2 linked regions of the Notamacropus eugenii genome follow. Each later gene encodes a partner of the first gene's protein in a complex. Links are inferred from orthologs where the notes say so. Each region holds a gene or a part of one and is shown in the gene's direction. Other genes may lie near its edges.

Region 1 (7,601 bases):
CTCATTTTCTATCATTGATGGTTTGATCAGGTTGACATATGAGGCTTGGCTGAAGGAAGTGACAAAGCTGACCTGAAGCAGAACAGGCTGCTTAGAAGGTGGTGGGTTCCCCTCCATCCTCCAGAGTCTTCAAGCAGAGGCTGGATAATCGTTTGCTGGTGTGATCTGGTGGGATTCCTTTGTGTATGAGTTGGACCAGATGGGCACTGATATCCCACCCAACTCTCAAATTCTGTCATTTGGTGAAGCTCTTGTCACTGCATTGTCATCCCAGCTTTGCCATTATTCCAATTTGATGTCCGTTTTGACCTTTGCTTTAATTAGTGGGAAGTCTTAGAGAGATGATTCTGTGATGATTCTTATATTAGTAACCTGATACTTGTTACTATATAGTCAGACTCGGTTTCTCTGATGTGTAGCACCTTCTTTCCAACTCTCTCCTTAAAGAAAATATTTGTCTTCTATTCTGTATAGTAGATTAAATGCAGAGCTTTTGAGTGATCTACAAGTGGTCTCGTCTGTTTTTTATACTTGAAACATTTTTCCAACAGACTTTCTGGTCATCCTCCCTGTGCCCAGGTCACCAAATATCAGAGAATAATCAGAGAATCAGAGTTGAATTGGAGGATCTTGAGGTCTTTGTAGGATTGATTTGCCTCCTCATCTTCAGTGTTGAAGCAGAGGCTGCAATGAGCTTCATGGTGGTCAGTTTCTTTAAGGTCATCCTTTAAGGGTATAGCAAGAACTGGCCAAGGATTCATGAAGCCATGTGGTGTCTTGTATTTGGGCTCCCAATAAAAGCAACTTTGCCAAGTTGAACTACCTCTCCAAGAGGGACCTGGAAGCCATGTGTCTATTTAGATGGAATTTCTTGATATCTTCAAGTTGTTACTTTAGAGTTAAAATTGATATTGCTCAGTTCATCCAAGAGTGTTTTAATTCTTTGGTTGTGGAACAAAGAGCTTCTGCTATATTAGAAGAACAACAATTAAACTAATGTTGTTAAATGGTACAACATTATATGGGGAAGTGGTAAATGGAATCCAGGTGCCATAACTAAACTAAGAGTGGTCATGTTAGGAAGGGTGGTCCTGGAAGCCTCACCACTGCCATAGCAGTCTTTTGGGTGTCAGCAAGCTGGGGTCATGAGGTCTACTACTAACAGAACTGAACCTATGTAGAATCACCTCAGGGAATCTTCCACTAGGTGCTTTTGCTCCAAAAGGTTGATGATTCTTCTCTGAAGCAACAGCGGTCCCGACCTTGCTTTGGTGGATGGCAGCTTGAACATATAGTGAAGTGGTGGTGGCCTCAGGTCAGTGAGCTTCCAAGCCTCAACAAGGGAAGATATAGGATCATTGGCTGGGGAATTCCTGGACTATGCCAGGGAGCCTCAGGAGCGGAGCGGGCAAACAACGAGCCTCAGTCAGACGCAGGTACCTGGAGACAGAAAGTAAATAGCCCTTAAGCCTGAGTTCTCCCTCTCTTTGGACCATTGAAGGAGGGTAGAATACACATCCCACACCACATACACACACACACACACACACACACACACACCACACAGAGCACATACACACAGAGAACACACATACTACACATCACACACTGAGCACACTCCCCCTCCCCCACTCCTATTGAGTACAGAAATACAGTTAACCCAGCAGGAAGCAGGAGGAAATGAGGAGAGGAGAGAGCACAATGACTGTGGGAGACTGCACTCATTTGTGCTCGGGGGCTGAGTGATTTTGAATGGGAAGTGATAATTCCATTATCTGATTTTCCCCTGTCATTTCCTTTGCTGTTTCCTCTCAGTTATAGCCATTGCCAGAGGGCTTATGGCTGTGGCTGGACTTGATGGAGGCTTGAGCTCTGTGTGGCTTTTCCACATAACTAAGTAACCGATGAGAATTCCAGAGAGAAAGGGACACACAGAGTATATGTCATAAAGACGAGGCAGAGTTGAACAAGCAGTGGACAGAGTCTGGAAAACTGAGTTGGAACCTGACTCTGTGGGACCCTGGACTAATCACTTAATGTCCCTGAGGTTCAGTTTCTCATTGTAAAATAGACATAATAACGTTCCTTCCTTCCAGAGTGGAAAAAAGTTTGAAAGGTGCTTCGGGGGCTTAAAGCCCAGTGTCGGTCAGCTGTTATGATGGTCATTTTTTTGGGTGACTCTTTCTTTAGAAAAGTTGTCCCCATCAGTGAGAGAAGCACAGAAGCACCATGACCTTTCTGGGGACTTGGTTAACTCCAGACAAGATGTCTCTCTTCTGCTGAGGCAATTCCCTGACCTGGGCCAGCCTCCATGCTCTCTCTCATCTACTAGACAATTAGAGTGGGAACTTGCTTTCCATCTTGCTCTCTCCCTCAACTTTTCAGCAGAATGGAGAGCTTAAGAATAGCAGTCTTCCATCAATGCCTGTCAGTGCCTGCCTGCCTTTCTCAGAAGCAGCCTTGACTGACATTTGGTAGGGAAACCTTCCTCAGGGCTAGCAGGGATTGAGCAGGGATTTGCTCGTCTGGTGGGGCATCACAGAAGGGGAGCTCCCTTGCCAAGAGCTGAAGGTCATGAGATTCTCTGGCTGCCCTGAGCATCTTCTCACAGGTCCTTTAAAGTACAAGGAATTGGCAGATGCCTTGAAAATGATGTCTCCTCTTGAGGAGGCTGGTGGCTCAGAGCAAAGGTGGCCAGTCTGAACACACTCTGAACACCTGCCTGGAGGTGGCCTCGGTTTGTGGGCCTGAGATCCCCTGCTGCTCTCAATGGATGCCTGACTTTATGTCTTGGTTCCTGTGAGTAGCCCCCCATGGAATCTCAGCCAGGCCAGGAGGGTGGGTGGGTGGGGGTCTGCATGCCCTTGGGCCTGATGGCTCAGTGGCTGACCATCGTATAAAGGGGCCACACCCTCTTCTGCATCCTGAGGGCCATCATCTTCTGAAAGAGGTCACACTAGATGCAGTTTTGAGCTTAGTCTGGGCTAAGGATCACCTGGGCCTGGACAAAGAGCCAGAGGCTGTGGAGATGAGCTGTAGGATGGAGGCCTTGGGTGTTCAGGTCCCTTCCTGGACAGCCTGGGTGTCCAGGGCCCAGGAGATGTTTTCTACAGCTGACCACACATGTGATGGACAAGGCCTAGAATAACAAGGCATCTCACAGGGGCTGCTGCCTGTTGATACTGGGCTGCTACCAGGGAGGTGACTTTGGAGAGCCCACCATGGCCAGATTGAGGGAGGCAGCTGGCCCCTCATGCCAGGGGCTCCCCAGGTTGTCATCTTTACAGGGTTAGATGATTTGTTCTTCTAATTGTGCTCCATCACCCGGCTTTGGCACAGAAGACAGAAATGAGTTCCAATCCTGCCTTTGAGGCTGACTTGCTGTGGGACCCTAAGTAAATCCTTTCATGTCTCTGAGCTGCAGTTTCCTAACCTGTAAAATGGGGTCTAGACTCAATGTCCTTTTAGGTCCCATCCACCTTTAATACATACATTGCGGGGAATCAGCCACCTCCTGAAGCAGCCCATTCCTCTCTTGGAAAGCCCAAAGGGTTAGGAAATTGTTCCTGAGGCTGAGCCTAACTTGACCTTGGCATGGTCCCTCCTTCAGGGGGCAACCACTCCAGGCCTGTTCGCATGTTGTCTTCCTCATTAGTCTGTGAGGTCCTCCAGGGAGGGCACTGTCTTTGCCTCTTTTGTATCCTCTGCAGTTGGCATAGGGTCTGCCACATGGAAGGCACTTACCTCGGGATACTCTCTCTTTCTATGTCTTTAAACAGTGGCCCTCAAAAAAGAGCTCAAGGCACCGGATGGGGTTGGAGGAGGCAGAGTGCTCCCTCCCCACAGGGTCTGCCTCACTCACTTTCTAGTTGGTATCGATGGGTAGGCCAATGGGACTTTCCCTTCCTGGGCCCTGGGGTGCCACCTGGGACAGGTCTTGTTCCAAAGCTTGTTCCCTGGTTTGCCTTCTGGCTCTCCCCCCTTTCTCCATCCCAACTCCTACCTACCCACCTTCTGCCTCCTGTCTCCCCTTGCCCCTCTCTTGCTGCTAGCTCCCTTCTTTTCTTCCCCTTCCTTTCATTTTCTCCTCCAGCTCTTTCCTCTCTGACACCTTACCGTGGTCTCTTGGTCCTGTTCCTTTACTTTCCCTCCCTCCACTGCCTCTACTACCTCTTCCATCACCTTCCTGGAGCCTTTTCTCTCTCCCACTGCAGATGAGGGAAACTGTCCTGCTGTGCCTCCCAGGGTGGTTCAGGAGCAGGCCATGCCCAAAGTACAGAAGCCAGGGCAGACTTTGGGCAGCTGCCAGGGCCACTGGGCTCTGTGCCCTTCCTTTCCTCAACTACAAGAAGATTTTGCCTTCTGGGGTTCCCATAAATCCTGAATTTCCTCCCTGGAAAGGATCCCCCGAATAGTTCCTTCAACTCATCCCCCCAAAGACTCATTACTGAGAACCTTTCTACCCAGGGCCAGGCCGGCCCAGACAGGCCCAGCTCAGCCTGGTCCAGCCCACTTTTGTTGCCAGGGCCAAGAAGGTTTTCCTTACATCCAGCCTAAGCGCTACTCCCTCCCCCTCTCCCAAATAGACATTTGGCTGCAGAAACTAAAGGAGAAGGTCCAGGAGGAGGCCAAGGACTGGCGGCGCCTCGGGGCCGTTCTCCGGGGATTGAGGGGGATCGGGCCTTGTGCTTCTGGGGTCACTCATCTGGACAACCCCAGGAAGGGTCCCCAGAGCTTTGTCCTTGTCATTCTCCAGGACCCAGCCCAGCGCTCCCTCGCTAGCCGCCGGCCCGCCCGGTCACTCCATCCCCGCAGCCGGCCGGTCGGGGCGCAGGAACCGGGCGAGCTCTCCCTCCTAAGCCCTTCCTTCCACACAGTGATGGGCGAAGTGGGGAGACAGGCAGGAGGAGCGGGGCGCCAGCACCCTCTGCCCACTTCTGTTCCTCCCCCAGGCTGCAGCCTCTTGTCGCGGAGCAGAGCGAAAGTGAAAGGGAAACTGCGTTCGGGCGGGCGAGGGAGAGCTGCCTGCGGAGAGGGCCGCAGCAGGGGGCCGCGGGCCGGACACGGACGGACGAGAGGCCGATGCGCAGACCCAGAGGGCTAAGGACCGATCGGCCACACTGCTAGACATCCGGGGTCTGCCTGCCAGGAGCCGACCCCCCCCGGAACCCATGGGCGCCCCGGGCCTGCGCGCCCTTCTCCTCTGCTGGGCGGTGGCCACCTGGGCGGGTGAGCTCCGCTACTGGGAGTTGGTGGGGAAGGGCAGGGGAGGACAGGGGCGCGGGAGGCTGTGCTAGGCAGTGTGCGGGACACGCGTGTGTGTGCGTGAGTGTGAGTGCCTGTGTGTGTCTGTGTGCGTGGCTGCGCACGCGAGCTCCTGGGAGGTTGGGTGCGATGCGGGGCAGGCGAGGGGGGGGCCGCCTTCAGGTGCCTGGGGCCTAGGGCAGGGCTGGGTGAATTGGCTCCAGCGGGGCGGAGGGGCCGGGGAGGCAGCAAGGCCACAGGTACTGGTGGAAATGGCTGCGCGCAGCTGGAGGGTGAATGGCGGAGGAGAGCCTCCAGGTCCCAAGCCTTGGCAAGGACCCTTTCTCCAAGCTCCCCCTTTCCTCAGCCCTGTGACCCCCCACTCCGAAGTCTGGATCTGCCCCTAGTGATGAACCCCAACGCTGGATGGGAGTTAGGGGTGTGCCCTGGGAGCACAGAGACAAAAGCGAACCAGGGCCTACCCTGAAGGAATGCCCATTTCACTTTGGGAGCCAACACGAGTTGTACATATGTGATCAATTCGAGATGATGGGGGTGGTCTGCGGGCACCAGCGGCTAGGTTAGAAAAGACCTCAGGTAGCAGTCGCGATTCAGGCTGTTTTGTAGGAAAAAGACGGAGATGAGAAGGGATGTGAGCCGGTGGGAGACGAGTGACTATGCACAGGTAGAGAAGCCTAGTCAATAGAGTGAAGAAGCTGAGTAAAATGGGAGACTGAGAAGACGGGAAGGGGTGAGAGGGGGCAGGGCTTCAGATGCCCTGCATCTGACCCTAGAGGTGATAGGGAACCACTAGAGTTTGTGGAGCTGGGGAGCAGCCCTCTAGACACTTAATGGGGGCCGGCGGTCTGGTTTGGGGAGCCCTGGGACAGCTTGGAGGATACTCACCTTTTCTTTTCCTCTGCAGAGCGGGATGAGTCTGGAGGGCCCCGCAGAGGAGTTGATCTGATCCTGGACTGTGTCTTGGCCAAAGAGGATGGGCATGGCTGGGGCATCACTGCCAAGCCACTGAATGTGGCTCAGGCCACCCTGGTGCTGAAGCAAGTGCCGGTTCTGGATGATGGCACACTGGACAGCTTCACAGACTTCCCAGGGGTTCCTGAGGGCAAGGAAGACAACCCCATTGCTTTTGAGGCGGCTGGTGAGAACTTGGGGACTGCGGACCCACTCTGCCCCATTCCTAAATGCCTACCAGCCTGCCTCCTTAGCCCCTGTCTGTGCCTCAGCCAAGTCCTGCTCAGGCTCCCAGCCCAGGCCTGCTCCAGTAACCGCATCTTGTTCTTCCTCCCTCGCAGTGGACCAGGTGCAGCTTCCTCACGCTGAGGTCTTGCTTCACGCCACCTGCCAAGACAAGGTGGTGACCTGTGAGCTCACTCCCCTCAACCAGGCTGGAGAGGAGGCCAGTTCCCAGGACGTGGCCTATTTCATCAGCACTGTTCAGGTGTCTGGGGGAGGCTTCAGTGTCTCCATGGTGATAAAGACCCTTGGAGGGACAGAGAAGGGAGCTCCCTTGCATCCACAGCTGAATCTGCCCCTGACGCCCCGGGGGACAATGCTGGCATCAGGTGAGGAAGCTTTAGTTTGTACTGGATTTCACTTGTCACCTCCCTCAGGGGCATGGCGACTTCCCCTCCCCTCATGGGATCCAGTGTAGGCTGGGCCTTGGCTTACCCAGATGCTGTTCTGAAAACCTCCAACTCAGCACCCATGTTGGTCCTGTCTCAGGTGGACTCTGTGCCTTTTTAGGCCTTCACTGTGGGCATTTGATTAGCAGAATCTCAAGCTTCCCTTGGTCAATGATCCAGGACAAAACACCCCAAGGGCCAGTGTGCACCTCGTCAGGCCCCTGCCTCCACACCAGAAATCCCCTAGGTCAGACTGGACCAGCAGGCCACTGTCCCCAGCAGGTCCACAGCGGGAGGCCAGGGTCTCCTTCAGGCCTCCTTGACTTTATTCTTCTGCAGTACCTGCTCATTTCCTCCCTTTGGTGCTGAATTTGAGACCCTCCTCACCCTCACTGACAGGGACCCCAGCTTCCCCTCCCCCTCCCCACCCCCAGGCTCCCCAGACAGGGATCCAGGCCCCCCTTCCCACCCACCCTTATAGGCAAACCTAGACAGGGCCTCCCCTCCCCCCAGCCCTCTGGAGGTTGTGGCCCATAGACACTCATAGATCCCTTTTTCTCCTCCCACAGTGGAGTTCCAGGTGATGACACAGACTCCAGATGTGCAGTCTTCCCTCGGTGCCTCTGTCTCCTTGCTCTGTGGCTTCTCCATCGCCCCTGGATTGGGCCCATTTCACCTAGAATGGAGGCGGCAGCACCAAGGCCAGGGCCAGAG
Region 2 (7,684 bases), on another chromosome or scaffold:
TGTCTTCTCCTGTTCCACCTCTTGACCTCATGGGAGAATACAGTATGCTGCTAATGACACTTACAAATTAGATTAAAAGAATCTGATAAAAAATTAAGAGTTCCTAGTTCTATATTAACATAAAACCTGTCTATGAGTCTATTGGTTATTATTTTGTGAATCAATCATATAAAAATATTTTTTAAAATCATAAAAAATAAGCTTCTGCTTAAGCTGCCGTTGAGGGGCTGCTTGCTTCTGTTTGTATTCCAGAACTACCTCCAGACTGTCCACTGCTTTGGCCTATTTATCATCCTAGCTAGGGTGGCCCTTCATTGAGAGGAGGAGCTCCAAAGGGATCTTTAACATTTCAGTGCTCATCATGATATTATAATGATAGAAACAAATATTTCAGATCTTTAAATACACCATCCTAATTACTAATAGGAGCAGTAAGGTATGGTAGAGAGATAGACTTCAGGGCTCTGTGCCTCAGGGGAAGTCCCTTCCCCTCCCAGAGCCCAAAGAAGCTTTGAGTATAGGCTCACCTGTATTGGTAGAGGAAGTTCTGGGATTGGAGGTGGAAGAGAGAAGTAAGAAAAGAATTAAAGGAATGTTTACAGTATTCTCCCTCCCCTCATATTAGGACTTTGAAGTGAATTGAAGGTGAAAGTGAAATTTGGGGACTTTTGGTTTTCTTACCCTGCTGTATTGAGAGACCCCTAGAACAGAAGGCAACCCACTTTTGGAAGAAGCTGCATGGTTGTGGAAAGAGCAGCGGACTTGGGCATTGGTTCGCCTTCTGGCTCCTATACTTAGTATCTGTGGGATCTTGGCCAAGGCACATCACTTCTCTTAGCCTCAATTTCTTCATCTGGAAAATGGGGATAAAAGGTACCTCTTACTAACCAAAGAAAGAGCCTTATAGCACTTGAATTGCTCTAGAATTCTGAATCTGGTCCCACTCAGGAAGTGCCACTAGGTTTTTAGAACTAGGGTCTCTTCTTGAATGTAGAATGGAGGACTAGCAAGTATACACAGTATGGTTATAGCATACACTGCTATAATTCCTATTTAGAGAAGAGACTGGAGAGTTTCTAGAAAGTCACAAATACATGTAACAAAAGGACCCTGCTCCCCAATTTGGAGGATACACAGACATTCAGGTTTGATGAGTGTGTGACAAAGAGAGACTGGTGATCAGCTATACAGCTTGCACTGGTTTATTCAGACAACTCTAATAGGCCAAAGCTAGACTTGGATCTTTCCTGCCTAGCTTCAGTAGACTGCTGAGGAGGAGAATGATGCAAATGTCCCCAAATGGAGAAATGAGTCTTGCCCCTCCTCTATCCCCACTCCCCCCACACCCAGAGGGCTGCCTCAAGTGACACAGAAACATGGTGCTTCTGTTTCTTCAACAGTTTCTAAGTAAAAGAGTATTGGAGAGGGCTATGAGCAAAGAGCTCTTGAAAAGTAGGTTAAGGGCTCTTCAAAAGTGGGCTGCCAGGTCTTCATCTGGTCATTCCAAGTTCATGAGTTCCATGTTCTTTTCTCCGATAATTATTAATCAGGCCTCTCCAAGTCTGTCCAGGGCCAAGGAAACTGAAACATCATTGTCATATGGACATCTTAATGTTTGTCTAGAGAATTGCCCCAATGGCTGGGTGGTTGAGGCTGCTGGGGTAGGGAGTGGGAGTGGTTGAATGAAGCCTAGGAAGTCAGTAGCCAAAAAAAAAAAGGGAAGGCTTCTAAACAGTGCTGACGCATCTGAAGCCCCACATGCTGCTTCAGCACCCCATTCACCAAAAGAAAACAAGTCAACCAACAATTGTTGTTCTCTGGGTGGGACAGTAGGTCTGCCTCTTCTGTCAGAAAATGCCAATAGGAATGCATATGAGACCCAGCCAGGCAGTCTAAGCCTGCTGGCTATTACTTACACTGTCATTCCAGCATTCTTCAAAATGATGTCTCTAAGAGTATCTTGAAGGACTTCTCTCTCCCATCCATGTGCTTAGCCCCTGTGACTTGTATGAGACCTGCTCCTAACCAGGAGGCATGAGTAAAGTAGCTTGTACTCAGAGTTCTTTTCTGAGGCCTCACTGGAGTTTGACTGGAAAGTCCTGTTTGAGTCTGGTCCTAAACCCGTTAAACCACCATCAAATTGCCCTGAAATGAGGGTTGTCCAGTCTTTCTTTACTCAAGTTTCAAGATGCTGAATGTCTACATTAACCCACCAGTAGAGGGAGTAAAATGGGGCAAAACTAGCAGGTTTCCTGAAGGGAGACACAGAGAAAGGAGGGGAATATGGGCTGGAGGTGTGAGAAAATCTAGAACTTTTAGAATAGGAATCTCAAATCCACAATTTCAAGATGCTTGATGCTCCCTTTCACCCCCACCCCCAAGACCTGCTGTAGAGTTCTTTGTCCTGTTGCTCAGTTGGATCAGATGAACAAGTCTGTGGAAGCGTACTTACTCCTTCCTTTTAAAATAATAAATCATGCTTTTTCTCAATATTGGTCTAAAAAATCCTGTTTCTCAGTTGAGTGAGAATCTAATGAGTTTTCCCTTGAAGAAAAGGCTTAATGGCAAGGAAACATTGTCCTGTTCCAAAGTTTCCTTGTGTCTGGCTTTTCATGATCCCAATTGGTGTTTTCTTGGCAAAGATACTAGAGTGGCTTAGCTATTTCCTTCTCCAGCGCATTTTACAGATGAGGAACTGAGGCAAACAGGGTTAAGTAACTTGCTCAGGGTCATACAACTAGGCAGTGACTGAGGTCAGATTTGAACTTACAAAGGCGGTCTTTCTGATTCTAAGCTCTGTGCTGTATCCACTAGGCCACCCAACTGCCTCTAAAGTTCCCTAGTTTCATTCTTAACAAAGACTTGTGCTCATCCTTCGTTTTCGAAGAGGACCATGACATCAGAGAAATAATGACATGACTTGTACTTGACTTTGTTTTGAGTGAGGGAGGGCTGTGCAAGATCACCAGCCTTAACTAAGACTTAACCAGTTGCTAAAGGGAGAAGCCTCTACCACCTGAAAAGTGATGATTGTAGTGATCAGGATAAGGTGATCGCTAAGATCACGAAGACTTCCCTCCCTTAGATTAATGCACGTAAGAGAAACACCTCTTGAATTCACTTTTGACCTTTAACACTTAGGGGATTAGAGCTTTAATGGGGGCCAGGAAGAGAAGGGGCCAGTTTGGAAGGTAGGTATGTGTAGGATGCTAAAGTGTTGGGATTTAAGAATCAGAGTCATAGACCTAGAGATGGAAGATACCTCAAGGGCCATCTCATCCAATGCCTTCATTTGACAAATGAGGAAACTGAGGCATGATATGAGGTCATTGAATACTTGTAGCACAAGGTAGAGGCTGATTTTGTAGGAGAGTTGGTAGAGGGCCAAGCAAAATTCATTTGCTTTATAATTCCCTGTCTAGGATCAATCTTGTATTCACAAAAGGGGGAAAAACTCTCTTCTTTTACTCTGACTAGATATATACCTCTGCCCCCAGGACTAAAACCCAAGCATTGTTCTCTTCCTTCCTCTCATTTCCTGAAGAAAATGCAACTGAGCCAATGGCATGAATTGATAACTAAACCAAACCAAAACGTGTTATACTGGACAATGTTAAGAGAGGTATAACTTCTAAGGAGGAGGAGTCATTGGTCCCCTATATCTCTGCCTGAATAGACCACATCCAGAGGCTCCGGGAACTATGATTTAGGAAGGATCTTGGTCGTCTGAAGCATGTTCAGAAGAAGGTAGCCTGAATAGTGAAGGGTCTTGATTTTGTATAATAGAAGGATTGGTTGAAAGAACTGAGGAGGTTTATACTGGAGAAGAAAAGACGGTTGTGGTAGTGAGATACGATAGCTGTCTTCAAGTATTAGAAGGACTTTCCCATAGAATAAAAATACATTTAGATTGGGAGAGCAGAACCAGGAACAATGAATGGAAGTTTTTATAAAGCAAATTTAGATTTAATATCAGGAAAAACTTATACAATTAGAGCTGTCATTATGTGATACTTTAGTTCCTAGCTGACCTAAGTGGATTTTTACACCTTGCTAATTGGTCAAGTGGGCAGTGGATAGAGTTTCAGGCCTGGAGTTGGAACACTCATCTTCATGAGTTCAAATTCAGCCTCAGACACTTACTAGCTCTATGACCCTGGGCAAGTCACTTAACCCTGTTTGCCTCAGTTTCCTCATCTGTTAAATAAGCGGAAGAAGGAAAAGGTAAACCACTCCAATATCTCAACAGGGTTGAACATGACTGAAAATGATTGAGCAAAACAAAAAGAAAAACTGGTCAAGCAATGGGTACTACTTGGAATCATTTCCTGCATTTTCTTTGACACTCATGCCATAGGTTATGAATCTCTCATACTATCTTTCTTATTTCAGAACGTTGGGTGATTTGTGTGAACTCTTCTCCTTGGATCCTGTTGTGATGGGAAAGGAGAATGAATACCACAACTCCTAGGCACAATTTACGCAGAGCTGTCTTTGGAATACACTTTTAGGCTCTAAGGATGATGAAAGAGGGGTACATGTTAGAAAAAGATACACCAATCTCATGGAACATAGGAGAGGCAAGCTAAGCCAAAATCATGGTCAATTTGGCTTAGAATTGAGGGATTTTCTTTGCTTCCTGTAGTTCTAGTGGTAGCTGCTAGTCAGGTTTCATTTTTTGTTTCTATAATCTACTTAGACTCTCCCTTCCTATTGGAAGAATTTTCAGTTCGTCATTTTCCCCAGTGGGTGGAGGCGTGTCAGGACTCAGGAGGTACAAGCTGCTGGGAGTGGGGCCGGAGAGTCTGGAGAGAGAAAGCGTTAATTAAGCCCTCTAGATGATCTTCCTTCTTTATCTCCTCATGACATCAGCCACCCAAGGAGGCGATGCCAGTGAGTACCCCAAGTGAGCCTCTCCCTCACCCCCCACCTTCCCCCTAGCTCTGGAATGGTCAGTCCAGGAACTACAAGTTTTCTTCTCAAGGCATGTGATGAAATTGTGGGCTGGCTAGCTGTGCCAAGTAAGGGTATTTTTGGTTTACCCAGTGTTTGGGGGAGGAATGGAACCGTTTTTCAGTTCTTTTGGGGGAGGATTTAAATTTCATTTTGCTTCCGAGTGGGTGAAATCCTCTCCAGAATGCCTTTCACAACACCTTTCTCCCTCCCACCTTGCTTCCTTTTCTCCCCTTCTTTCTGCCTTTCTTTCCTGCCCTTGGCTCCTTCTCTTATCTTCCCTTCTGGCTTGGTTGTGTAGCTGGCATTTGGGGTTGGGACAGGAAGAAGCATCCCACTTCATTATTTTCCTCTCACTTCAATCTGGATTAGACCAAAGGACACAGGGAGAAACAAGAACACGCAGAGATGCTAGGAGCACTGTGAGAGGCAGCAGCGAAAATTTTAAGTGAAAGGAGGACTGACCTCGGAGTCAAGAAACCCAGGTCTAGTTCTGCCTCTGACCCATACAGACTAGGTAATCATGGGAAACTCTTTTGACCATTTTAACACTCCAAGGTTCAGATGAGTTGGGGAACCTGAATGGGTGGAAAGTTTCCGATTCCACACTAGCACTTCTTATGGGAATGGAAATCACTGGTCTGTACCAAAAGGAAAAAGAATTTTTTGGAGGCAGAGATTTGCTTTCTTTTTCTCTGGAAGAGGTGAGGGGAAGGGAGCACATTCTAGAAAGCACAGAAGTATCCATGATTTGCTTCAGATTTAGGGAAGGCAGATTGAGCTTGTCCCTAAAAAATTAAATGCCTTTCAAACTGGTGTTAGAGATCTCAGGGACCAAGTTGGAAGTTAGTTCTCCAAGTCTGCTGGGACTTTTTATGGCTCCAACCTGTGATTTCCAAGGGAAAGTCCTCTAGGAAATTCTAAGTTTGGAAACTGCCTCCATGGATACTGATCTCAAAGCAATCTGTACATGTGATCTTAAAGAGTTTTGTGGGAGTGCTGAAAAGCTGTAACTTCTCCATGTGATCATGATCACGTTGCTGTAGCCATGGAAGATGGTTATCCATCTTCCACTTGTAAACTTCTAAGGAGTAGGAACACAGCTCTCTAAAGAGGAGTACCTCTGCAGGCATTCCATTTGGGACAGCTCTAATTGTTAGAAAAATTTCCTAACACCAAGCTTGAATTTTTTTTTTTTTGGTAGCTTCTGCTCACTATTCCTGGTTCTTTTCTTTAGAGCCAAATAGAACAAGTCTAATCCTTCCACCTCACAGTCTTTCACATACCTGAAGATGGCTATCTGTTATCAACTGCCTCTGAGTCTTATCCTCTGTAGGCTCAACATTCCAAATTCCTTCAAGCAATCCTCCTATGATATGAACTTAAAGACCCTTCAGTATCCTGTTTACCCTTCTCTGGAGACTCTCTAGTTTATTACATCCTTCTTAAACTGATATGGTCATAACTAAATACAACACTCCACATGTATCCTTAGTAAGCACAGAGGAATTATCCAACAAACATTAAGCATCAGCTGTGTGCAAAGTGCTGTATTAGGAGGTGAGAATTCAAAGACTAAAAATGAAATAATTGCTGCTCTCAAGAAGTTTGTACTCGATTGGGGGAGACAACAGATGCATACAGAAGAATGTAAAATAAGTACAAAGTAGTTAAATACAGGATAGAAGGTGAGGGTACCAGCAGCTGAAGGAAAAAGGAAAGGCTTCATGTAGAAGGTAGCATGTGACAGGAGCCCCATGTGTACTGAAGCCACAGGTCTTCCTAACTCCTAGGCCTAGACTCTCTACTCTGTCATGCCACCTCTCATTGCTAAGGTTTAGGGTTATGAAATAGAATTTCACTATGAGAAGGAGCTTTAGAGGTCTTTGGTCTTTCTTGAATATTTTACAGATGAAGAAACACAGGAGAAAAGCCTTAGACTGGTTAGTGGCAGAACCATGCCTAGGATGTGAGTCTCCTAAATTCATTCACTGCCTTTTGAATTGCTTCTTTAAACTGCATTTAGTGGTGAGGAAAATTAACTCTTCAGCTGGCTGGATAGGGATGGCAAAAGATTCGGGGCTCCTTCATCTCCTTGCATTTATTACCTTTCCTATAGCTTAAAGATATCAAGAGGGAGTGGGCAGCTAGGTGGAGTGGGTAGCTAGGTGGTGCAGTGGATACAGTACCAGTGCAGGAGTCAGGAGGACCTGAATTCATATCTCACTCAGACACTTAACACTCATTAGCTGTATGACCTTGGGCAAGTCACTTAACCCCAACTGCCTCATCCTGGGCCATCTCCAGTTACCCTGATGAATATCTGGTCACTGGATTCAGATGGCTCTGGAGGAGAAGTGAGACTGGTGACATGCATAGCCCTTCTTCACTCAAAACAAAGTCAAGTGCAAGTCATGTCATTATTTCTCTGATGGTGTGGTCTTCTTTGGCAACGAAGGATAAACGCACACCAAGAGGGAAATTAGCTAACGGCAGGATGGGTCATCCCCAGGAAAGGCAGAAGAGATCTGGGATTGAATCTCCATTCCCATATTTACTAGCTGTGCAAATTGACATTGAATGATATCCAAAAGAAGATAAGATACTGAGTTCATAAGAAGATATGGTCAAACTCATATCAAGTTTCCTCATGCTTTGAGGCAACTAAGTGGTACAGTGGATACAGTGCTTGGCTTAGTGTCAGAAAAATCTGAGTTCAAAACCTACCTTA

The links.
Region 2: the proteins of TAPBPL (region 1) and major histocompatibility complex class I-related gene protein are in contact, whole or in part, in an NMR structure (PDB 7RNO), measured with the Homo sapiens proteins. The link is inferred for Notamacropus eugenii from reciprocal best matches to the Homo sapiens genes TAPBPL and MR1. Residues at the interface, in NP_060479.3 of Homo sapiens: His47, Arg48, Gly49, Ala50, Ala52, Ser53, Ser54, Leu129, Met131, Thr132, Glu133, Thr135, Arg228, Gln230, Lys232, Gly233, Arg234, Gly235, Thr280, Ile282, Gln293, Ile295, Gln297, Arg307, Leu308, Ser309, Ile320, Cys321, Asp322, Leu355; in NP_001372090.1 of Homo sapiens: Arg101, Arg104, His105, Asn107, Thr129, Gly130, Phe131, Leu132, Gln133, Ile143, Phe144, Asn145, Asp147, Thr148, Leu152, Ala153, Val154, His159, Thr160, Lys162, Gln163, Ala164, Ala167, Asn168, Gln169, His170, Thr213, Phe214, Pro215, Asp248.

Annotation. Positions count from the first base shown.
Region 1 is NC_092874.1:488,668,140-488,675,740, reverse strand, and holds the start of TAPBPL (tapasin-related protein), read left to right. Parts: upstream 1-4,598; 5' UTR 4,599-5,171; coding exon 5,172-5,229; intron 5,230-6,169; coding exon 6,170-6,403; intron 6,404-6,557; coding exon 6,558-6,827; intron 6,828-7,456; coding exon 7,457-7,601. UniProt on the Homo sapiens protein: Component of the antigen processing and presentation pathway, which binds to MHC class I coupled with beta2-microglobulin/B2M. Association between TAPBPR and MHC class I occurs in the absence of a functional peptide-loading complex (PLC).
Region 2 is NC_092873.1:464,526,714-464,534,397, reverse strand, and holds the start of major histocompatibility complex class I-related gene protein, read left to right. Parts: upstream 1-4,670; 5' UTR 4,671-4,838; coding exon 4,839-4,893; intron 4,894-7,684. UniProt on the Homo sapiens protein: Antigen-presenting molecule specialized in displaying microbial pyrimidine-based metabolites to alpha-beta T cell receptors (TCR) on innate-type mucosal-associated invariant T (MAIT) cells.